2 linked regions of the Callithrix jacchus genome follow. The protein of the gene in region 1 interacts with the protein of each later gene in a biochemical or structural test. Links are inferred from orthologs where the notes say so. Each region holds a gene or a part of one and is shown on either strand. Other genes may lie near its edges.

The links.
Region 2: the proteins of RXFP3 (region 1) and RLN3 form a complex in vitro, tested with the Homo sapiens proteins (2 studies listed by BioGRID, with this or other methods). The link is inferred for Callithrix jacchus from reciprocal best matches to the Homo sapiens genes RXFP3 and RLN3.

The regions. Positions count from the first base shown.
Region 1 is NC_133503.1:171,375,574-171,380,082, forward strand, and holds the start of RXFP3 (relaxin-3 receptor 1), read right to left. Parts: upstream 3,101-4,509; 5' UTR 2,491-3,100; coding exon 1,081-2,490; 3' UTR 1-1,080. UniProt on the Homo sapiens protein: Receptor for RNL3/relaxin-3. Binding of the ligand inhibit cAMP accumulation.
Region 2 is NC_133523.1:12,808,249-12,812,697, reverse strand, and holds the start of RLN3 (relaxin-3), read right to left. Parts: upstream 2,955-4,449; 5' UTR 2,788-2,954; coding exon 2,598-2,787; intron 1-2,597. UniProt on the Homo sapiens protein: May play a role in neuropeptide signaling processes. Ligand for LGR7, RXFP3 and RXFP4.

The sequences.
Region 1 (4,509 bases):
AGGGACGGCTTGATTCTCAAAGCATGGGAAGGGAGGAACTGCAGAAGTGCCCCCACTCCTCCCGGTAGAGCTATTCAGGATGCTCCTGGGCCCAGCTCACCGGCAGCACACAGACCAGAGTGCGTACAGGCACCCAAGGTGCTCTCAGAGGAAATGGAGCGCCCGGGCTTCCAGAGCCCAACGCACCAGAGCGCCACTTCCAACTCTGCTACTGATTGAGCATATGAGCCTCCTTTTACCTTTCGGGGCAGCAGCCTGAAGAAGTTTCCCTATTTAGCCCTTCTAATCACACTGTGTCCGCTCCCTCCGGCAGTGATGCCACTCCCCAGAGAATCGCTCTCCCAAGTTCGTGACAGGTGTTATCCCCTGTTAACGTTTGCGCTCCCGGGCTTTGCAGCTAGATCTGGCTTAGCACGTTCCTGCTAGCCCAGTCCGGAATGACAATCGATACAATGACTCCATGCTAGCCCCGTCCGGAATGACAATCGGTACAATGGCTCCATGGGAGGTGACTTTCCTTTGCCATTTGTCCTGGGGACGGACCATAAGGGTTAGTTCTTTTTCTTAACTTCAAAAACGTTTCTTGCCTCCAAACTCAATATTCCTGGGGCAGCCCGGCAGCAAGCAGAACCTTAGCGCTGCTGCAGTCTAGTTAACCAAGTAGCAAAGGAGAGTTTGCCGCAGAAGTCGCTGGAATAAACGGGCACAATTGTCTGCGCATCATTTGATTAAGCTCCGCTCCCTGTGCCAATTTCTTTACATTTTTGCTGCTTCTCTCTGCTTCTGGGCGACCCCACACTGCCCAGCGTGGGCAAAGTAAGGAGAGGCTGTGGGGTGTGGAACCGAGGTTGAAGGTCCGGCCCGTGGGGCTCGTCTCTGCCCCTTTGCCAGCTTCCTCTCTCCACCTGATTTCAAAGCATGCCCTCTCCAGGAAAGGTTCTCCGGCCTATACACAGGCTGCTCATCCTCCTCTCACCTACTTCTTGAATGTCCCCCCTCCCCCACGCAGCCTTCCTTAATCTGTTCACCTCCTTCACCGCGTGGGGAAGGCCACCTTGCCCCTACAGCGCGCCCTGGACCTCAGTAGGCAGAGCTGCTGGGCAGCAGGTCGCAGCGGCTCCCGCTGTAGACCACGACGCCAGGGGGGTAGTAGAGCAGTTCCGGTTCCGCGGCCACGTGGAGCGGCGCCAAAGCCTGCAGCCCCTGATCCTCGGGTTCCGGCTTGGTAGTGGCAGTGAAGGGGCGCATGCTGGTGAGTGAAGGAGACGCGATTCGCCACAGCAGGCTCTTGAGCGCTTTGCGGAACTCGCGGCGCACAAGGCAGTAGAGGATGGGGTTGAGGCAGCTGTTGGAGTGCGCCAGGCACACGCTCACAGGGAACGCGTATACCTGGCACAGGAAATACTCCTGGCTGAAGGGCACGGCGTTGAACTTGATGAGGATGCTCCAGGTGGTGAGCGCCTGGTTGGGCAGCCAACACAGGAAGAAGGACAGGACAACGAAGGTCACTGACTTCGTGACTTTCGACCGTCTCCGAGCACTGGCTCCGGCCGGGCCTCCGCCAGCTACTGCGGTCCCTCTTTCAGTACCCGCCACGCGGCGGTCGGAGATGAAGCGCACCAGCAGCAGGTAGCACAAGCTAATGATAGCCAGCGGCAGCACGAACCCCAGCAACACCTTTTGCGAATGGTAGAGGCCCAGCCAGAACTGCCTATCGCGGCCCAGCAACTTGTCGGGGAAGCGCACCAGGCACAGCTCTTCGCCCATCACCTTGACCGTGGTGGAGAAAATGGCACTGGGCAGAGAGGCCAGCGCGGACGAAGCCCAGATCCACAGGCACAGCGCCTTGGCGGAGACGCAGCAGCTGTTCCCCAGGCTCCGGCCGCAGCAGTCGCCCCGGCCGTGTCCTCGGGTCCGGTGGCTCTTTAGAGCCGAGGCCACAGAGTGGTAGCGCGCCATACTCATGGCAGTGAGAAAGAAGACGCTGGCGTACATATTCATGGACGTCACCATGGACACGATCTTACACATGGCCTTGCCAAAGGGCCATTTGAAGTCAAGTGCGTTCTCCACCGCCCAGAAAGGCAGGGTGAGCACAAATTGAAAGTCCGTCAGTGCCAGGTTGGTGACGAAGAGGTTGATAGAGGATTTGCGCCAGCCCTGCTTGCTCTTCATCAGGTAGAGGACCAGCAGGTTGCCCGCCAACCCCAGGGCGCACACCACCCAGTACACCACGCTGATGAGGATCCGCACCCGGGCCTCGGTGTCCGAACTCTCTGCCCCGCCGCTGCCAGGGGGATGTCCTGGCGCCGCGCCGTCCGGCAACTCCAGCCCCAGCTCCCACCACAAGTCCCCAAGCTGTACCGACGCGTTACCACTCGTGTTGGCCGCCTCCAGAAGGTCCGGGACCAGACTGACGAGTTCTGCTAGCCTGTCCCCGCCTCCTGCCTTATTCATGGTGGCTATCGGGGCTGCATCGACCATCTGCATGCGCAGGTACCTCTAGGTCATGTTCCGGAGGACAAGACCTAAGAGAACACGGTTCGCCCTGTTTTGTTCCCAGTCTAGCTAGCCTGCGGGGCGTGCGCGGGAGCTTTCAAAGTAGCTGCTGAAGATAGAGCTCAGGAACTGGGTACTCAGCGAGTCCTGGCGCACAGCGAACCAACCGCCTTGGACTCAGAAGTTGAGCTCCGCGGTTGCTTTGGAGCAGAGTTGAGGAGCGCAGTCCCAAAGGCAAGTACTGGGCATCCAAGGGTTCTCAGGCCAAGCTTGGAGTCCCTAGATTCTTATATACAACGCAGACTTCCCCTCTCCGTGTCCCACGGTCACTGAGGCACTGGCGCATAACTCACCCAGCCGCTTAACCGTGCGATTTGGGGCCGCTCGCTCTCTTTCAAATACCTTTGGCTGTTTCCTCTGGGACTGCTTAGACGAGGTTTCCGTCCTTGGAAAGAAAGAGATCCTAGGGTTCTGTCCACCTCGCTCTGCTGCCCGGAGGTCAGTGGGTGTCTGCATCTCTCCGCGGTTGTCAACTCCGGGTGGGTTGCCAGCGGCGCCCACCAGTTGCAGTGGCACTTGCACGGCCGCGGCGGCGAACCTCAAGGAGCATGCGTAATCCCGTGGCGCCGGGAGAGGCGCTTTCCGAGGTGCTGAACCAAGCCGCGGCCGCGCCGCGAGGGAGCGCTGGGCTGCCGGCAAAGCCCACACGCCAGCTTCCATTTTCCTCCCCAAAATTTCAGCAGGAAACAGTCTTAACCCTTTATTTTACACCTGCAGGAGAAAGTGGGCTTTGACATGCGTTTCCTCTTTCTTTCTTATTTCCAAACATTATTATTAGAAGGGTTTTTTTTTCTTCCTTCCTCACTCCCACTTTATCACTGAAATTATTCCATTTGGTGAGGAATGGTTCTAAAAATATGTGATATCCTGCTTATTTTCCTTCCTAAAAGTAATGACAGTGATCTTTTTTCATGCTTAAGTTAGACGATGTGTTCTTATTGGATACATAAAGGACAGCTCCACCTCCTCTCTTTAATTAGCGGATCACTTATGTGGTGTCTGTGATTGTCAGGATGTTCAAAGGGGCTTCTTCACAGGGTTCAGGGGTTGCCCCTACTTTAATGTATTCTGAGACGTGACACAAAAACAGAGCAAATAAGTGGTGGGCCTACATCACAGTAATTAAATGCCCTAGGCCCAAAGCGCTTCAACAAATTGTTTGATCACATACAGCCATGGTCTCTTTACCTACATGCAGATAGAACAGAGGATACCACTGGGCTGATCGTGAACCCTCAGCCCCCCTATTTCCCCTAGGGTTAGTATCAGAACTCTTTTTCAGGTGGTTTTCAGACCAATGGAAGTATATTCTAAGGACTTTTCCAAGGGAATGAATGAAAAGCATTTGTATTGCTTCTCAAGATGCAGTCTACATAAATGCCGGGTCAATTGCTCTGGTGTAAATTACACTTCTAAGGATTTACTTTAAAAATTTGAAATGTTTTTCTCTGGGTCTAGGACTAAACTGAAACAAAAGCATCTTAAGCATAATTGTCCTCACCTCTGGAGCACTACAGAACTCCCATCTTTAGCGATAAAGAGAATCCAACCTTCAAGATGAGGAGATAAGAAACACTTAGAAAAAAGCAAAGAAAAAGAAAGAAAGAAAAAAGGAAAGAGAGAAAAGGAAACAAGAAACAAGAAAAAAGAAAACAGGAACAATCTTGATTCCAAAGGACATTTAACCCCGAAGAGCACACACCCTGTAAGGATATTGTCCTGCTCTGTCTGCCCACTAGAGGGAGGCTGGGCTTTAGTAAAAACCTTGCCGAACACCAACCATTTCCTTTGATCAGTTCTTTTCTGGAGCAGATCACCCCCGCCGTGAGGATTCCTCCCAAAGCACAGGTTGTTTCTGTGGACGACTCTTATCTTGGTTTTAGTAACCTCACTTTCATGCTCAGTTTTGACTTTATTTTTAACCATTTATTTCCTCATCAAATTTCTCCC
Region 2 (4,449 bases), on another chromosome or scaffold:
AACCTCCACCTCCTGGGGTTGAAGTGATTCTCCTGCCTCAGCCTCCAGAGTAGATGGAATTATAGGCATCTGCCACCAGGCCCAGCTGATTTTTGTATTTTTAGTAGAGACAGGGTTCACCATGTTGGCCAGGCTGGTCTCAAACTCCTGACCTCCAGTTATCCACCTGCCTCAGCCTCCCAAAGTGCTGGGATTACAGGTGTGAGCCACTGCGCCCGGCCTCCCTTACTCTTTGTTAATTGAGGACCTGGTACATTTGGGAGCTGGGCTGGCCGAGCATGAATCCAGCCTCTCCAAGCCACAATCTTAGGAAGTGAATTTACTTCTTGGAGCCTCAGTTTTCTTTTTTGCAAAGTGGAAAAAAATAATTACTCCAAACTTCTCAAGCTTTATAAGGAGTAAATGAGTTAATATCGATTTTTTTTAAAACTTAGAACAATGAGGCATGACAAGCACTCAAAAATGATTCTTTAGGCCAGGCACAGTGGCTCACACTTGTAATCCCAGCACTTCAGGGCCCCAGGCAGGGGAATCACTAGAGCCAAGAGTTCAAGAACAGCCGGGGCAACACAGCACTACCCTGTCTCTACAAATAATAAAAAGTTGGACATGGTGGTGCAAGCCTGTAGTCCCAGGTACTCAGGAGGCTGAGGCAGGAGAATTGCTTGAGCCCAAGAGGTGGAGGCTGTGAGGCTGCAGTGAGCTGTGATCACGCCACTGGACTCCAGCCTGGGCAACAGAGCAAGGCTCTGTCTAAAAAAAAAAAAAGATAATTACAATGTATTGAGCACTTACTGTGTGTCAAACAACATTTTAAGTGCTTCGGCACGTTAATTTCTTTATTCCTCTCAATGAAACCAGATGAGGTGGGTGCAGTTATTATCACTCCGATTTTCCAGAGGAGACCATGAAGGCAGGACTTAGTAAAGAATTTGCATGACCAGGTACAGTGGCTCATGCCTGTAATCACAGCACTTTGGGAGGCTGAGGTGGATGGATCACCTGAGGTCAGGAGTTCGAGACCAGCCTGGCCAACATGGTAAAACACCATCTCTACTAAAAATACAAAAATTATCGAGGTGTGGTGGCACAAGCCTGTAATCCAAGCTACTTGGGAGGCTGAAGCACGAGAATCGCGTGAACCCAGGAAATGGGGGTTATAGTGAGCTGAGATCGCACCACTGCACTCCAGCCTGGATGACAGAGTGAGACTCTGTCTCAAAAAAAAAAAAAATTGCACAGGAACACATAGCTATTATGTTGTAAAGCTACTATCCAAATCCAAGTGGTGTGTCTGCTAGGTCCACGCTCTTTCCTACCCTCCTCACCGTCATGAATAGCTATTGATTTGCCAGGCTCCTGCCCCTCATGAAGCTAGGTCTCCTCTTCTCCCGGCTCTCCTGATACCTCCCAGACTGTGCCTCTACCCTGCTTAGACTCTGCCCTAATCTGCTCTGACGTAGTCATCCACTCAATCCTGCAAGGTTCAGGAACTGTGTCTCCCATTCAAGGATACACTCAGAGACTCTAATCTCAGCACTTAGGGAGGCCAAGGTGGAACAATCACTAGCGCCCAGGAGTTCGAGACCAGCCTAGGCCACATAGTGAGACCCCCCTGTTTCTTTTTTTTTCTTTTTCTTTTATTTTCTTTTTGAGACAGAGTCTTGCTCTGTCACCAGGTTGGAGTGCAGTGGCATGATCTCGGCTCACTGCAACCTCTGCCTCCCGGGTTCAAAGGATTCTCCTGCCTCAGCCTCTTGAGTAGCTGGGACTACAGGTGCCCGCCACCATGCCCAGCTAATGTTTGTATGTTTAGTAGAGACAAGGTTTCACCATGTTGGCCAGGATAGTCTCAATCTTTTCACCTTGTGATCCACCCGCCTCGGCCTCTCAAAGTGCTAGGATTACAGGTATGAGTCACTGCGCCCCACCTTGAGACCCCTGTTTCTACAAAAAAAAAAAAAAAAAAAAAATTCTAAAAATGATCCAGGTGTGGTGTCAGGTGCCTGTGGTCTTCACTACTCTGGAGGCTACGGCAGGAGGATCTCTTGAGCCTGAGAGGTTGAGGCTACAGTGAGCAGTGATTGGGTCACTGCATTCCAGCCTGGGCAATAGAGTGAGATCACATCTCAAAAAAAAAAAGACCCTCGGAGATGGGAGGAAAAACCAACTTGTGGGGAGGGTCACGCATTAGGTGGCAAAATCCGGCTATGTGTGTACCACACGCTTCACATGACCTGCTGGAAAGGGTTGAGCGTTGTCCTTGTGAATGGCGCTCTCCCCACTCTCACCTCTGGAGCATACAGGCAGCAGCTTTGCTTTGCACAGGGCTTGGTTGGCAAATAGCAGGTGCTCAGAAAGGAGTAGACCGTCCTCCGACTTACAGCCCTCATGCATGGCTTGCAACCCCCCATCCCAGCTCTGCAGCTCTGCTAACTCCTGAGCCGTTGTTTCAAGGCTGGGCAGGTGTCCCTAGCTGGATGTGGCAGGGCGGGGACCCTCCTCCTCCAGCAACCTCCTCTCATCTCGGTCCTTAGCTCCTGGGACCCATCCGGGCACCCGTTCCCCGCCTACATCCTCTTTTCCCCCAGCCTCACCCATAGCTTTCCGGGCCAGGATGTCCGATCGCCTCCACCGGGAGCCCCCACAGGTGAAGATGACTGCTCGGATGAACTCTCGGCCGCAGAGTTTCACTCCATAAGGTGCTGCCCGGGCCTCGGTCCCCGGCCACAACTCCCCGGTCAGCACCCACATCGCCAGGAGCAGCAGCAGCCTGTACCTGGCCATGCTGGATGGACAGAGACGCCTTGGATTCAAGAGTGGGCCAGTGTCTCCACTGCCTCCTGGCCCCCCATTTATACATCGTGGCTCCCCCCAACACTGCCTGATGAAAGCTGAGTGCCTCCCTTATCTTTCCCAGCAGAGGGGAGACAGGCACAGCCCCCCCAACCCGACCTTTCTCATGTCCCCAACGAAGTGATAACCTTTCTCAAGGGACAGGGTGACGTGGCCCAGCTCACTGTCATCATCATCGACAGAGAGGCTAGAAGGCTTTGATTCTGCAGAGACCAGAAACGCATAATCCCAATGGGCCGGGTAGGAAAACACAAACAGACGCCCGCAACGTTAGAATCCTGGACCTCTTCAAAGGGAATAATAACAACAATAACAGTGAATGGATGTGCTGCGGGGCCAGGCACACTGCTCTGAGCATTTTATTTATTTATTTATTTTTGAGACAGAGTCTCGCTCTGTCTCCCAGGCTGGAGTACAATGGCGCGGGCTCGGCTCACTGCAACCTCCACCTCCCAGGTTCAAACGATTCTCCTGTCTCACCCTCCCCAGTAGCTGGGATTACAGGCGTGTGCCACCACACCCAGCTAATTTTTTGTATTTTTAGTAGACATGAGGTTTCACCATGCTGGCCAGGCTGGTCTCGAACTCCTGACCTCTGGATCTGACTGCTTCGGCCTCCCAAGTACGGGGATTCCAGGCATGAGCTACCGCACCCAGCCTATTTGTTTTTGAAACAGAGTCTCGCTCCGTCACCCAGGCGAGATAACAGTCCCAATGGCATGATCTCAGCTCACTGCAACCTCTGCCTCCCAGGTTCAAGCAATTCTCCTGCCTCAGACTCCCAAGTAGCTGGGATTATAGGAACCTACCACACACCTGGTTAATTTCTGTATTTTTAGTAGAGATGGGGTTTCATCATATTGGCCAGGCTGGTCTCAAACTCTTGACTTCGGGTGATCTGCCTGCCTCGGCCTCCCACAGTGCTGGGATTACAGATGTGAGCCACCATGCCCAGATGTTCAAAGCATTTTATATCTGTGTAATGTCTTTAATTCTCCCAACAACCCAAGGCAATGGTTCTCAAATGTGAGTGAGCTTCAGAACCTTCAGGTGGGCTTGTTAAAATGGCGATCAGGCCGGGCATAGTGGCTCACACCTGTAATCCCAGCTTTGGGAGGCCGAGGCAGGCAAATCATCTGAGGTCAGGAGTTCGAGACCAGCCTGGCCAACATGGTGAACCTGCCCCCATCTCTACTAAAAATACAAAAAATGAGCCAGGTGTGTGTCTCATGTTTGTGTCTGTAGTCTCAGCTCTTCGGGAAGCTGAGGCACAAGAATTGCTTCAATTTAGGAGATGGAGATTGCAGTGAGCTGAGATGGTGCCACTGCACTTCAGCCTGGGTGACAAACTGAGACTCTGTGTCAAAAACAACCAAAAAAACACAGATCTTTGTGTCCTACTTGAAGCGTGCTGGACTCAACAGGTTTGGAACATATCTAAGAATCTGCATTTCTGGCCGGGTGCGGTCGCTCGTGTCTGTAATCCCAGCTACTCGGGAGGCTGAGGCAGGAGAATCACTTGAACCCGGGAGGCAGAGGTTACAGTGAGCTGAGATCGTGCCACTGCACTCCAGCCTGGGACACCTCGTCCAG